Linked DNA regions of Saccharomyces cerevisiae S288C. Changing the gene in region 1 together with any one later gene gives a genetic interaction. Each region holds a gene or a part of one and is shown in the gene's direction. Other genes may lie near its edges.

Region 1 (5,788 bases):
TTATATAATCAACGGTATTTATATCATCAAAAAAAGTAGTTTTTTATTTTATTTTTTCATTACTTTTCACTGTCTATGGATTTTCATTCGTAAAGGCATCACTCCCTAGTTTGCGATAGTGTAGATACCGTCCTTGGATAGAGCCTTGGAGATAGCTGGCTTTAATCTGGTGGAGTACCATGGGACACCGGTTATCATTCTGGTCACTTGGTCTGGGGCAATACCAGTCAACATGGTGGTGAAGTCACCGTAGTTGAAAACGGCTTCAGCAACTTCGACTGGGTAGGTTTCAGTTGGGTGGGCGGCTTGGAACATGTAGTATTGGGCCAAGTGAGCTCTGATATCAGAGACGTAGACACCCAATTCAACCAAGTTGACTCTTTCGTCAGATTGAGCTAGAGTGGTGGTTGCGGAAGCAGTAGCAGCGATGGCGGCAACACCAGCAGCGATTGAAGTTAATTTGACCATTGTATTTGTTTTGTTTGTTAGTGCTGATGTAATCTTAACAAGAAATAGTGAAATGAAAGCGCATACCTCAAAGGCATATAGTTGAAGCAGCTCTATTTATACCCGTTCCTCCATCTGTTATCACTACTTAAACGATTCGTTAACAGATGCTCATTTAGCACCTCACATATTCTCCATATCTCATCTTTCACACAATCTCATTATCACTATGAAGATGTTCTTGTTTTTGAACGAATCATACATCTTTGATAGACTTCGTATGTGGAGTACTGTTTTATGGCACTCATGTGTATTCGTATGCGCAGAATGTGAGAATGCCAATTATAGGGGTGCCGAGGTGCCTTGAAAACCCCTTTTGCGCGCCTGCGAAGTTTCCGCTTTCGGTCAAAAAGAAAATCCGAATTTAGATTTAAGACCCTCGTTCAGAAGCTTATTGTCTAAGCCCATATTCAGTCTGCTCTAAACGGCTTCCATGGAAGTAATATTTCTATCTCTTGAAATCCGTACAAGATATTAGACGTGTGTTGGGAGTCGTATACTGTTGGCGTCTGCAAATTCGTGAATTCTCCGCGAATGCCTTGGTGCAATTACGTAATTGTAGCCGCTGAAGGCGGATGGTTTTGAGAGAAGTTGATGTTCAAAGAATCGTGTATGATAAAAAAGAATGTAACCAGAAGCAGGATTAAAACTCGACGCAGAGGAAAATATTTGATTCCGAGATGTAACCCCCCCTTTTCTAGCCAGATATGAAGGAGAAAAGTGTAAGGGCAATAGATGGCGCTAATTTATTGAATCCAATTTTAAAAATGTTCTCTAGGAAAAATATTAATAGTTGATCCTCCTTGTAGCTTCTAAGTCAAAATAAATGTTTCTATCTTTATGGTAACGGCTCATAGTTACAGCTCAATTGCGCTTCTTGAATGTATTTCCAAAGTTCAACGTTTAATGATCTAGGCGACGCAGATTTTTTTGAGAACAAAAGGCTACTAAAGTTCCGTTCAAAGAATGCCTGACAATCAGTCCCATCAAAGAAAAACTCTTCGTTTTTCCAGACCCTCTTTTCAAATAATCGTGTATTCGTTTTCCTTGCAATTGTATCCCATTTTTCAGGGCTAGCACCCTGCTCGTTTATAATATCTGATAGGTACTGCATTTTATCATCAACTTTCATCGATTTAGGCCTTATGTTTTGAAAATCATCTATCATTCTAAAGAAAATGTCTATTAGCCAATAAGATACCAAGCATGCTGGTGATAAATTTGCACAAATAAAGAAGTCAGACATATCAGGAAGGAAGTCTAGTGGAGAGAAAGAAATCCTGATTCTCTGGCAACTCCATGCTAGCTTGCAGCGATAGGTTTCCTTAGGAAGCTTGACATTTTCCAACATAGTAAGTTTGCATTCCTTCTTACCATGGATCAACCTCCACTGTGCGTTTACTTTTGTAAAATAAACCTGCACCGCGTCTTCGGTGTAAGGGACCAAAATCTCAATTGAACTGAACCTAGGATCTTCGTTTTGTCTCCTCAAAACAGCTGGCTCTAGAATGGTTTTCCTGAATGCTTCTTGGCAGTCAGTACCATTAAAAAAAAAATGTGCAGTTTTCCATGCTTTGTTTTCATACAAGTAGGAATTGAAATGTATTGCAACAGCGTCCCAATCAGCAGAGTATGCACCTGGTGCACTTTTGATGATTTCTTTAGAAAGCTGGGTGAGTTGATTTGATAAAGTATATTTACTGTACTGTATTTGAACTACTGGCAAAATAGCAATTAGCGCCAGGATTAGAACTACTGAAGTCAGAAGGGGATAAAACCAAGTACTGGCCATCCCCCACCAAACGGCAAGCGGTAACCATGATAGCGACCAGATCCAAAATCCTGAGTTGCGAATCTCACTGCACAACCATGTTAAACGGTTTCTGAAAATATCCTCGGGCAAACAAAAGCTACTATGGGTCTCAAGACCTTTAGAGGACAAAAGTCTAATCTCTTCCCCCATATTCAATATAGTGTATTTCACATTAATGTTATGAGGTACGTAACAAGTTTACTGAGGTTTAATCACTCGCAGTGTTTTTTATATAATTCGCAAGATGAAATTTGTTGACAGCGCGTTCATCACGCAGCTGTTGAGTTTTATAGTTAAAGCCACGATCAAAAAAAGAGCAACAGCTTCGAGCAGTTTCGAGTGAAAGAGAATCTATGTTGGTTTATGTTCCGGAAGCACGGGAGAAATGGACTTCACTCAAGTACCCAAGTTATCACTAAAATGTAAGTCAATGTATGTTTACAGATACGAGCTGCGATGTTTTATAATACATGGTACACAATAGGTGAAGTATTGTGGCTTATTTTTGAATTATCAAACAATGTAATAGCTTTCCAAAGCATACCATATAACTCCTATGAATTAAGCGGCGGTCTCATTATAAAGTCGGGACACTTTTTGGTCAAAGCTCTCGATTAGTTTTTGAATACTGTGCAAAGTCTTTAATGATATTGTCATCAGTTCATAATCGAATTCTCTGGTACATTTTTTCTTATTTTATTGATCAATGTTAATGTCAGTTTGCTGGCTCTTGTTTTTTTTTTTTTTTTTTTTTTTTGACTGTTAGTTAAGTTGCCCAGCTAAGCTTACTCAATGAGTTAAGTATTTATTTTCATATTTTCATCATAAAATACTGCGCTATCTCGTGCCCTCGTCTCTTATACAATAGGCAGTACTTGACTAGAATCTAGGAGTGCTTTTCCTGAAACTCTCTATAATAACAACCCATCTCCCGCCGATTGTATAGTGAGCCAAGTGTTCTCATAATGGGGGTCTTGAAGAAGACTTCAATGGTGTCTCATAGTAGCAGTACTAGTAGTGCTAGGAAGATGAGCATTGTACAGCTTACTTTTCGTTATTAGTGATACATGACTGAGTGATTGTAGTTGGTAATACTGGATTAGTAATCGTTAAAAAGCGATAAAAATTAATTGAATGTCCACCCTGCATGATTAGTCCTTTTTATCTGGCTGGACAAATGAAGCCTATTATAAGTATTAATATATTAGCTGCTGCAGACTAGAAACGAAAGCAGTGATAAATCATTGATAGACACACATTTCCTCATCGTTGTTCTTCATTATTTACAGGAAAGAGCAGAGAAAGGAAGAAAGAAATTGCAAAATATATGACAATTAACACAAAGAACATAGTTGTTGTTGGTGCTGGTGTGTTTGGTGTGTCTGTGGCAAATCACTTGTACAGGGAACTGGGTGGGACATACGCAATAAAGCTCGTCACAGCATCTAATTATGTGTATTTTCTACCCTCAGCTGTCCGTTTGACGGTTTCAAAGGATTATACCAAGTCGATCCTGCCGTTAAAAAATGTTCTTGATAGTGGTATTGAAGTTATCAAAGATACGGCTGCCAGCTTTGATGATAAGGAGGTAGTTTTGGGGTCAGACAGGGCCATAAAGTTTGATATCTTGGTTCTTGCAACTGGCTCAAAGTGGGCTGATCCAATTGGTTCAACTTATACCTTCGGGGATAACTATAAAGAGTATTTTGAAAGAGAGGCTTCTCGAATCTCAGATGCAGATCACATACTTTTTCTTGGCGGTGGCTTTGTTAATTGTGAACTAGCTGGTGAATTGTTATTCAAGTATTTGGAGGAGATCAGGTCTGGCAAAAAGCGTATTTCCATTATTCATAATTCCGATAAGCTACTGCCGGACTCTGGGTTATACAACGATACCCTAAGAAAAAATGTGACAGACTATCTCTCAAAAAATGGTATTACGTTGTACTTGAACACAGTAGGGGCTTCTTTAGACACCTCGCCGAAACGTATTTTTCTAGGTGAGGGCTCATCTAAATATATAGATGCTGATTTGATTTACAGAGGCGTTGGTATTTCTCCAAATGTGCCGGTCAACAGTATTTCAGACCTTTGTGACAAGAAAGGGTTCATTCAAGTTGAAAAAAACTTCAGGGTAAAAGCTGTTGAGGCAGGAAACGTTTTTGCCATTGGTGATGTAACGAATTTTAGATATCACGGATTGGTTAAAAGAGATAATTGGGTTGATGTTTTGACCCGAAATGTTATAAGTTCTTTACAAGAAGGAACAGAGGCTAGTCTCGTTGATGCAGATTGTCTTGAGACAGGACATGCCCCAAGTGGTGTCTCCCTTGGGCCAAATGCAGGGTTTGGCCAATTTCCACTACCGTTACTTGGGACGATTAATATTCCATCGTTTTTAATTTCTAGAGCAAAGTCGAAGAATCTTTTCTCCGACAAAATGGAACCTTTATTCAAAAAATAGACTAAAATATGAACTGCAGCGTATATATATATATATATATATATATATTAGTTTCTGTATTGTGAAACAAAGAAGGCCGCTGGAAACAACAAATGTTGAACTTCGCATTCAGATAATAATCTATTAAAACCCGAAGTTACTCGAAAATGTTAGCTTTGGATTCTCACACTATATGTAGTTTCTTTGACAGTAGTAAAACGGTATTACACCTGTGCATTAGAGTTATCAATCGCTTGATAACAATTTGACATTTTGGAGGGTCCATGAAGATAGGTACTGATTTTACTCGAAGTGTGAATGTTTTATACCGAAGTTTTGTTATATAGAGATACAGATATCAACAGGATTGACCACCTTCTTTTTTAAACCTAGTATAATGGGGACGGTGAGAATTAACAGTTAAGGTATAGGCGTGATGCCATGGGAGGGGCAAATACGGAACTGGAGTAAAGTATTGTGTGGTTTAGGTGCTGGGAAAAAGAAAGCATTAGAATGCTCAATAAAACAGCGGCTTCCCGCATAATATTTTTTTGATTATTTCATTCCGAGAAAGGCCGATATATGCAGAGGCTACGTGTTGCTTGCCAACTTCAGTATACTTTGCTTGCCACTACCAGAAATTGACCCCGGGAACTTTATTTTTTAAGTGCCTAAAACTTATTTTCCTGCAGGGCGCGCAATAAATAAGGGATATAGCAAAACTTGAAACGTGGGGTAGTTTCGTGCCTTCTTATGTGCCTATCTTGATTTTTGCCTTTGTACCTGAGTCTCCTTACCCCGCGATACCCCACCGTATAGTCACTTTCCCTTGGCACGGGCTAAAATGACCGTAGGATGAGCTCAGCAAACAGTTCATTCCACGTACACTTTTCTTTTATTTTTAGCTCGCCACTTTTTTGATTCAACACTCCCCCCCATGATACGTCATTTTATAAACTTTTCGTGCGGACGTGAACCAATTAAGCTTGCGCATCAGTGGTGGATATATGGACGGATACCTCGTA
Region 2 (4,367 bases), on another chromosome or scaffold:
TACCATTTTTTTCAAGGAATTTATGGAGAGTTCTGTTAGTATACTCAGAACCACGGTCCATTTGTATAACCAAGACACTGGCCTGAAACTGGTTTTTAATAAAAGCTAGTATCGTAGTAAAAACATCGAGGATAGAGTCCTCGCGACGGTCGTGTAATGGATAAACCCAACGGAATTTTGTTGTCTCATCAGTAAATGAGATGAAATAGGATGGTGCACTATTTGGTAGGTTGTGAACTGGACCAAATATGTCAGTATGTAGGTATTGAAAGGGTTCGTATGAATTTTGGTATTTTAGTCGTGAACCTTTGATATGTCTGTGTTTGGTGCTTTTGCCGATTAAACAATCAGGACATTGATAGTCAATAGCACTAGACCAGTCGACATCTGATTCGTTAAAATACGTGATGGTGTTATTTTTAAGTGAGTATCGAATTGTCTGTGCATTGGCATGCGCAAGCATTCGATGAATGAAAGGATAAGGATATTTGCGTGTACTTTCACTTGTATGGACATTATTGATGGTGGGTACGGAGATATTTGATGGAAGCAAGTACTTTTTAGATACCCAGTAAAAGTCTCCATATTTTACGATAGGTGCAAGTACAGTGCCGTCAGACCGTTCTAAGACGTTTTTGGTAAAGCATGCTGTGATATCTACTGCAGCCAATTCATTCAAACTGAGTAAGTCATAGGCTATGTTAGGAGTGTGCAATACCTTTATTGATGTTTTGGTGTTGTCCTGGAAGTGAAATTGTAGGTCACCAATAGCGTTAATTGGTATATTTCTTTTTTGAGCATCAACTACGTTTATGTCAGGATTAGATGATGCTGAGTGTATGTGATGAGCAGATCTTATAAGGGTTCGTGATGCTCCTGAATCGAGAAGGAGGTGTCCAGGGAGTTCATCATCAGAATGATTAGTATGATTTACTGTAGATTCAGTAAGTTTCTGGCCTAAGATGAAGGTCGTGCTTATTGTTCAATTGAATCGGTTCAGTAGTTGATTTACTGATGGAATCGTTGTCCGTGCTGGGAGAGTTATTAGATGTGGATACATTGTGAGCCCTGGCTGTTTTCGATTTCGAATTATTTGTTTTTTGAGGATTCCGAGCTATAACTTTGGGTTTGGTTGTATTCGTATAGCTGCGAGAATCATTCTTCTCATCACTCGGATTTCTCCTGTAATTAGGTTTACTGTTTCTCGATCCCTGTTGTTCTTCATAAATAGCATGGATATCTAAGAACAGTTCAGCGACTGTCATATTTAGATGTCGATGACGTGTGTAGCGTAAAAATTTATATTCGCCAGATAGACCTCTCATAATTAATTGGCATGCGACCTTGTTATTGATATGAATGCCATTATTGTTCAGTCTGTCGATAATGTTTGTGACTTTTGTTTCAAATGCATCTGCAGGTGTACTGCCATTATATTGCAAATTTGCCAGGGTCACAATGTCGTTTGCCTCTTGGGTATCAGATTGCATTTTTTCAATACTTTTGGAAAGAATTTTCATGATATCCGTATAATCAACGGATAGGATGTCTTTGACCCAGGTAGGTAGGAATTGAGAGGGAGCAAATATTTGAAAAGTGTTATACAAGAAGGTGAGTTCATCATCAGTGATCTGACGTACGGGTTTTCCGTTTACTGTCGGAATAATACCACCGAGATTCGAGTTTTGTAAAAATTTGATGTATGTTTTAACCCAATTTGGAAAGTCATTAGGTGAGGTTAACATTGGTGGTGGTCTGACATATTTTTTAGTGGATGTCATATCAGAGTCCGCTGAGGATGAATCAGTAAATGTATTACCTGACTCAGGTGATGGAGTGCTCAGAGGCGTTCCAACTGATGATGGATACTGCGGAAACTGTGATTGTGGCCCAGGTGGAAAGTACATAGGCGACATTTGATAAGGTGTATACGGAATCATAGATGGGTGTCCGTAAAATGACCAACCAGATGGATTGGCTTGGTTTTGGGTCATCATGCACTGCTGTGGGTACGGCCCATTCTGTGGAGGTGGTACTGAAGCAGGTTGAGGAGAGGCATGATGGGGGTTCTCTGGAACAGCTGATGAAGCAGGTGTTGTTGTCTGTTGAGAGTTAGCCTTAGTGGAAGCCTTCTCACATTCTTCTGTTTTGGAAGCTGAAACGTCTAACGGATCTTGATTTGTGTGGACTTCCTTAGAAGTAACCGAAGCACAGGCGCTACCATGAGAAATGGGTGAATGTTGAGATAATTGTTGGGATTCCATTGTTGATAAAGGCTATAATATTAGGTATACAGAATATACTAGAAGTTCTCCTCAAGGATTTAGGAATCCATAAAAGGGAATCTGCAATTCTACACAATTCTATAAATATTATTATCATCGTTTTATATGTTAATATTCATTGATCCTATTACATTATCAATCCTTGCGTTTCAGCTTCCACTAATTTAGATGACTATTTCTCATCATTTGCGTCATCTTCTAACACCGTATATGATAATATACTAGTAACGTAAATACTAGTTAGTAGATGATAGTTGATTTTTATTCCAACAAGTTATATTATCAATATATTATCATATACGGTGTTAAGATGATGACATAAGTTATGAGAAGCTATCATCGAAGTTAGAGGAAGCTGAAGTGCAAGAATTGTTTCATATGTGATTTATGAACATTTAGCATGATTTATTGTCATATTGAGGTATGGTATGTCGATGATAAAACAAATCCAACAATTGTGAGCGCAAGTGGTTTAGTGGTAAAATCCAACGTTGCCATCGTTGGGCCCCCGGTTCGATTCCGGGCTTGCGCACTTTTTTAGCAACTATTAGCGATCAATATGAAGGGTTTAGAGACTAGGTGCCTGCCTCGCCTACTCAGCATTCGTTCAGTCAATATTTTATATCACCGTTAATAATGATTAAGCAGTTTTTTTTGTTAATAAATCCGGTCATCGGGCTAACTAATCTTCAAGAACAACTAGACGGTCATCCCCTTTTGCTTCATAACTTCTCCTTATAATATAAAAACTTACAAAACGACCATGATATTCAATCTACCTGTTAGTGTGCTGCTTTATTTTTCTTTGATATGGGCAATGGAGCCTAGTTTCGTAAGAGGTAAGAACGTCGTCAACTTAATTACTTTCAAAGATTCAAATGGCAAGCTGCACAAGCGGTTAGCACCAGAGGAAATACCGCCCCGGCTACATAATTCTCAAGTAAATTCTTATCCATTAGGATATAAGGGAATGCGTGACTTTTCAAGACCCGCAGTGAATTTAGATGATATTTTAGGGACACAGCAAAGAAAGCAGCAAGAGTTTTTGGCTGAATTGTCTCCTTTATCCTTAGAATCAAAGTTGTCATTAGTGAACGAGGTCCAAATATTTGCAAGCTATGTGCGAAATGATGTTGAAACATATAACAAAGTAAGTGACCCCAACGAAGATTTGATTATTATTGCACCAACGAACAGGGCTGTCTCTCAGCTTACTTTAAAACCGTGGCAATTTCCGAATAATATTGATAAGCTTGAAAGTGATGGTGCCACCGAGAAGGAACTTGATACGGCAATACAAGAGAATATCTCCAAATTTGTGAGATCTCATATTGTAGTGTACAATGATGATAAAAATTCCTACAAGAAGGTGAGTCCAGGATGTACGCTCCTGCAGAGTATTGACTTCACAGAAAGCAAGAAAAGCGATTCGGAAACTGGTGGTGATATTTTACTCAAAAAAGAAGGAGAAGTATATTATGTAGCTTCCTCCAGAGACGAGAAATTTCATGCCGTCGAGAGCATTGAAAATGGAAGCAATGGTGTTATTTTGATGGTTGATTTCACCCTGGTGGGTCCTTAGTTATGTGTTGCTTATGGTTTTGACTTCCTTGACCCCATACAAATTGCGTTCTTTATTTTTTTTGGTTATAATTTATTAATAATGGCGAGTAGGATCGGCCTATCTTTATGGAGTTTACAACATAATATATACATTGGTATCAATTTGTTTTATAGTTATATTTTCTCTAGTATGTGAACGATAATTTTGTTTTACGAATCCTTATATTAATGCTTAGCTGGGGCCGGTGGAATAAGAATACAACTATGAAAATATTACAACAATACCTTCGAACATATATATACACCACTTAGAAAATTGATGGTACGGTGCCTGAGATCGCTGCTGGTGAGGTCATATAAATAGAGGATGCGTTTTTGTTATCAAGAGAATTCTCCCTCTCCGATAACACGTCCTGCGTATCCACTAGCGGTTGCTCCACTTTCTTATTGAATGAGTTGGATTCACCCCCAAGTAGACCTACTTTAAACAGCTTTCTTGCTTTTAATTTTCTTTCTCTA
Region 3 (5,383 bases), on another chromosome or scaffold:
TCCTTGCCAATCAGTCAAAGTCCCATTACCATCCCAATGATCTAATTTATCGTATATTAAATCCCCTACATTGTTTATTTTATAACGTGGAATAATGTGTGTATGCAAGTGGGGTACCGACTGTCCGGCCTCAGGTCCATCTTGGATGGCAACGTTGATAGAGTCAGCCTTATATTGCCACTTAATAAATCTATGTATTAACTGTAAAGTCTTGAAATAATCTTGAGATTCAGGCATGGTCAGATCTGATAAGTTTAAAACCGTAGTTCTCAGTGGAACGATCAGTACATGTCCGGGTACAATTGGTTTCAAGTTTACCAATGCATACGTATATTTTGACTTCTGTAAAGAAGCAGAGATTATAAGGTCTCCATATAGTTAGTAACGCAATGGTGCGAATGGGGTACAAAAAAACATATGAGAGTGCATACATAGAAAACTTGTTCAGTTACAAGAAACTTGCTGAAATATATTGGCTTATTCATGCTTTTAGGTTTCTTTGTTTTGCTTAAGATCATTCTGAGCCCAAGATAGATCAATGGAGCTTCCTTTTTTTCTTCGCTTCTTACAATTGAGCAGAAAAGAAGATTCGACCATATCTTGAGAAACGTATAAACCAGGAAAATTACACATTCTAATTGGTGTCAATGGCAAAATATATGCAAGTTTGCATGTAAAATATTTTTTTTAGGCCGGATAAAATAATTCTTCCTAATAGTGTCTAAAAGAAAACACTGACTCTTATAAAACAAACAATGAACATTTTAATAATTAAGATATAAACTGCCATCTTGATCTTCCAAAGAGACTACCAAATCAGCGACTTCATCGCTTTTCATGTTCCACCCCAGCTTGGGAGAAACACAAATATTCTTTAGGCAGGGCAGCCTGGATTCCAGTATGGCTATAGTCAAGTCATCGGGATGAATCTTAGAAGCTAATCCCAAGGATCCGCTGCATTCTAAGTACAATGTTTTAAGAGGCCTATCATATTCCACCAATTTACTTAGCATGAATTCAGAAAAGCACCACTTAGAACAGTAATCAACCATGAGCTGCAAAGAAATTAAATTAGCACAGTACGTGAAGACATGGTCTAGGGAATTTTCTGCCAGAGATGGCATCGGATAATGAAAAAATAAATGCTTTAAATTATCACCGATCTGTGATAACAACGAATAAATAGACAATTCCGTTATTTGAGGACAATAAGAGAATTCTAAAGTTGTAATAGTTGTTGGCCATTTCGTATCAATCACAAATTCATTTGTTATACCTCCACTCAATTTCAAGTACCTGAGATTCTGTGGCCATTGAATATCTTGGAACCCTTGGCAGTCAATCGACGATCTGGGAAAAGATAAATGCGTTAATTTAGTGAAATTTTTAATGGCAGAAAATAACTCCTTCAGCTTAACTGTTTCCGATACTAAACCCAAGTCTAAAAATTTCAAATCATGACACGATTTCAATGAAATCAAAGGCGCGTAACCAAAGCTTGTCTGTGGTGCGATGAATTTAGTTAGGTTAGAACAGCATCGTCGTAAAAGCTTGGAGACAAATGAATTTCTACCACTTTGTAAAATTGTAGACAAGTTCAACTCAAAAACATAGTGTCCTAAATTCTTCTTTTTATTTATGATTATTGTATCAACAAACCCGTTGAAATTCTTACTTGTTAACGCTGGTGCATAATAAAGCTTTGGTAGACACATGGCGTACCAGTTTCTGCAAACTAGTAAGTAGTTCATATTTATACCAGTCGTAGTTTTTTTTCCATTAGCAGTTTTATTTAATTTTTCTTCTTTCTCTGGTATATCAAGATAATGAATTATTCTATGCTGTATCTCCCATGGCAAAACCATCTTTACTGATACTGAATGCATCCTCGCTTCCTCACTCTCTATGACTTTGCCATTTTTTTCTCCTTTGGAGGACGATGTCGATGATGACGATGGCGACTGCTTACGTCCTTTTTTATCCTTTTTTTCATTACTCAGTCGTGTCAATTTCACTATAGTATCATTGGTTTCATCATAGTAATAAGACCCCTGTGGAGTCTCAATGAGTTCTGCATCCTCCGGTATAGTGATAGTGAATTCTTTAGCCTTATTATCATTTCTTGTAGAGGAGAAACCCTCTCCCGCCACGTACTTCCTGTAAGGAGCCTTGATTTTCTTGGGTCGTGATTTGTTTGCCATTACTGAGTACTGTGGTTGATATGATTATGTGTTAGAGCTGTTGCACATGTTTGTCGATGTACAAATCTTGACGATGCCGTCATATTACTCTCAATACTAGACACATCTTGTATTGACAACCCTTACCCCTCATGAAGAGGTAACCCGGCCGCAGGGCTTTAACAATAAAATAGAGACTATCATTCAACAATTACACAGTAGAAAAAAGTCAGAAGATTACTAATCTCGATCTTAAGTCTATTAGTCAATTAAATGTGGCCTAGGATTCAACTAAAAATATAGTAGTAGTGAAAAAACAAATGTTCCAACCGAGGATCGAACTCGGGACCTTTGCCGTGTGAAGGCAACGTGATAGCCGCTACACTATTGGAACAATATTACGGATGACAGCTTAGGATTCATAAAGAACTAATAAAGGTGTGGCAATAAAAATGGTGCAGCAAGTCTCAACTTTACTGCTTCTTATAGTTACTTCCTGTCGTTTTCATCACACTAACCCTTTGTTTCATTGTGCTCCCCTTCCCTTCCTTTCAATATTGCTTCCTACATCGGTCACTCTTACTTTGGTAATGAAGTAATGAAGAAAGGAAAAATAGAAAATCGAATACTAAAAATGTTATTATTTAAGGAGAATAAGAACGTAGACACTTAAGGGCGATAGTGTTTGAACAGAAAAAAATTAACTTACAAAACATGAAGGACTTGAGATTACAGGGGCCCTACAGAAAGTACATTCCCTATAATATTTTCCAACAATGTGGAATTGGTCACTTAAAGACGCTTGATTATATTTTCGCGTTTTTGATTGTTATTACCAATTTCACATTAATATGGAAATCGCACTCTTCTTCATTCTGGAACCGACCATGGGACAATAATAGTGAACAAGAACTTTCCCAATTAATTCAGTTTTACCTAGACAAGGCTTTTTACATCCATGAATTGCCACCATTTACAATACAGTTCTACTCCATTATTCGAAGATTAAAGATCGCAGAAAATTTAAGATACGTTTCTTTGTTTTTGAATTCATCGACTTTAGGTTTTCTTTTCCTGATAACAAGGAGAATCAATTGCTCTCGTTTAATTTCAGCAACAGGTTTGCTGATATTATCCAACTGGGAAACTTTCAGAAATGAGGGCACTATTATATCATTTGACAGTTTAGAATGGTGTCTGTTCTCAGTAGTAATTTACAGTTTTATAAGCATTTCAATTGCAAAACTGGGAACTACGAATTGGTTTGCTAATGTGATTACATTATCTATTTCTTTAGGGCTGGCAATCTCTTCTAAATTTATTGGAATTGTCACTTGGGCCTTCGTAATTCTTTCTTTTGTACGTCAATTTGATAGACTGATAAGCGACGTTAAAGTTACGACCATCCAAATAATAAAATTTGTCATTCTCTGTCTATTATTCGTTTTGATTATCCCTGGTTCCATCTTCATAATAAGTTATTCGAACTTACTTTCGAATTTTAAGACAGACACGCCACAATTTTCAAAATATATGAGCACATATTTCAAGTCCTATTTAAGAGGCCCTCAAGTACAACCGAGTCGATTGTACTATGGATCAACGATCACATTACGTCATTTAGATTCTATGGTCGGATATCTTGCTTCTCACGATATTTCGTATCCATCAGATGTTGACGAACAGTTAGTAGCGTTATCATTTGAAGAATTCGCGGCAGACAATGAATGGTTAATAGAACATCCTACATTAAATTTGAGTTTTTCTGAGGTATACCATGCTGATCAATTGATACCTGTAGAATTTGGTCAAAGTATAAAACTAAGACACAAATCTACTGGAAAATTATTGAGAGCCAGCACTGCTAAACCTCCCATCAGCGAGCAGGACTATGACTTTCAAATTTCATGCACGAAAGATTCAAACTACGAAGGAGGAATGGATGAGAGATGGGATGTTCTCCTGATTAAAGATGAAATCAACAATGATAAAAAGGATAACGCAGATGATAAATACATTAAACCGCTTCAATCAGAGATACGCTTTTACAATAACGGCCAGAGATGTGGGCTATTGGGCCATGATCTTCGGTTACCTGAATGGGGCCGCTTTGAGCAAGAAGTCCTATGTATGGAGTACCCAGTAATACCAAGAACCACTTTTCTAATAGACTCAGTACAACTACCAGTCGATTTCCAAGTCCCAATGATAGAATATTATATCGGCAAAATAAGTTCTTCAGCAGAATTCAATCATACCTTATCTTGGTCACAATTTCTTTATCTTTTCAAAGAATATATTTTCAAACAATACAAGTACAATTACTATATTAAATACGGTAAAAATAAGGTCACTTTTGAAGATGCGTTCGCCGTGGAAAAATGGCCAATTACGTTAGACACAGACTCTCCAGTTTGGTTTAATTTTGCATGGTATGGATCCTTACTCTCGATGATCATTTTCATGTGCGTGCAATGTAAGAGAATGATATCTTGGAATCCGTGGACAACTGCTGAACCTTCCTTTTCTATCAAATGGGAGGTCTACAATGAATTTGGCTGGGAGTGCATTGTCGGTTGGTTTTTACATTTTTACATCTTCACAATGAGTCCACACTTCAACTTGGGGAAAAAACTGTACTTCCAAAGTTTTTTCTTTAGTGTATTGTGTCTTTTAGAATCGTTAGATTGCCTTGCAAAGTAACTCGTAGAAAGATTTTCTCCATTATGATTTTTCTCCCATTGCTTCAATAATTCTCCGGTACAAATAGAGTAGCACAATTATTTATAAGAATAACATACATACGCTTAACTCTGCCATATAACTATAGTACATTTTCTGTCCTCTGTTCGCAAATTTCTTTGTAAAACTTAAGTTTATGTGCTCTTTTTTGAGTTTGCAATGCCATCTACAAAATCTTCAATTAAAGAATCAACGTGCCTTAAAAGTTTCTCCTTCTTTTTGATGGCCTCAATTTTTTCGTCTTCCACTTCAACTAGCTTTTTCTGCAACATATCAATCTTCCTTAATTGCTCTTCAGCTGAAACGTCAACACCAGGTAACGAGTCAATAAGCTTGTTTATCTGTCTTGTTTTAAGTATAATGTCCGTGGATAGCTCATCTATCGTGTTAGAAAATTCCTCAGGAGGTACTACTGTGGCATGCTTATCGGACATCTGAGGTTCATTTACGGTCAATCGTTC

The links.
Region 2: mutations in AIF1 (region 1) and YDR262W together harm fitness more than expected from each alone (negative genetic interaction), as found in Saccharomyces cerevisiae (one large-scale study listed by BioGRID).
Region 3: mutations in AIF1 (region 1) and PMT7 together harm fitness more than expected from each alone (negative genetic interaction), as found in Saccharomyces cerevisiae (one large-scale study listed by BioGRID).

Annotation. Positions count from the first base shown.
Region 1 is NC_001146.8:776,598-782,385, reverse strand, and holds AIF1 (Aif1p), read left to right. Parts: upstream 1-3,647; coding exon 3,648-4,784; downstream 4,785-5,788. Other genes in the region: seripauperin PAU6, read right to left, coding at 106-468; YNR075C-A (uncharacterized protein), read left to right, coding at 783-875; COS10 (Cos10p), read right to left, coding at 1,346-2,470. UniProt on the Saccharomyces cerevisiae protein: Putative FAD-dependent oxidoreductase involved in the resistance to cercosporin and other singlet oxygen-generating photosensitizers. Translocates from mitochondria to the nucleus under apoptotic conditions, where it degrades DNA and induces apoptosis.
Region 2 is NC_001136.10:990,086-994,452, forward strand, and holds YDR262W (uncharacterized protein), read left to right. Parts: upstream 1-3,048; coding exon 3,049-3,867; downstream 3,868-4,367. Other genes in the region: YDR261C-C (gag protein), read right to left, coding at 942-2,264; exodeoxyribonuclease DIN7, read right to left, coding at 4,157-4,367.
Region 3 is NC_001136.10:1,072,971-1,078,353, forward strand, and holds PMT7 (putative dolichyl-phosphate-mannose--protein mannosyltransferase), read left to right. Parts: upstream 1-2,894; coding exon 2,895-4,883; downstream 4,884-5,383. Other genes in the region: HNT2 (bis(5'-adenosyl)-triphosphatase), read right to left, coding at 1-342, 432-518; PFU1 (Pfu1p), read right to left, coding at 765-2,201; SRB7 (Srb7p), read right to left, coding at 5,057-5,383. UniProt on the Saccharomyces cerevisiae protein: Probable protein O-mannosyltransferase involved in O-glycosylation which is essential for cell wall rigidity. Transfers mannose from Dol-P-mannose to Ser or Thr residues on proteins.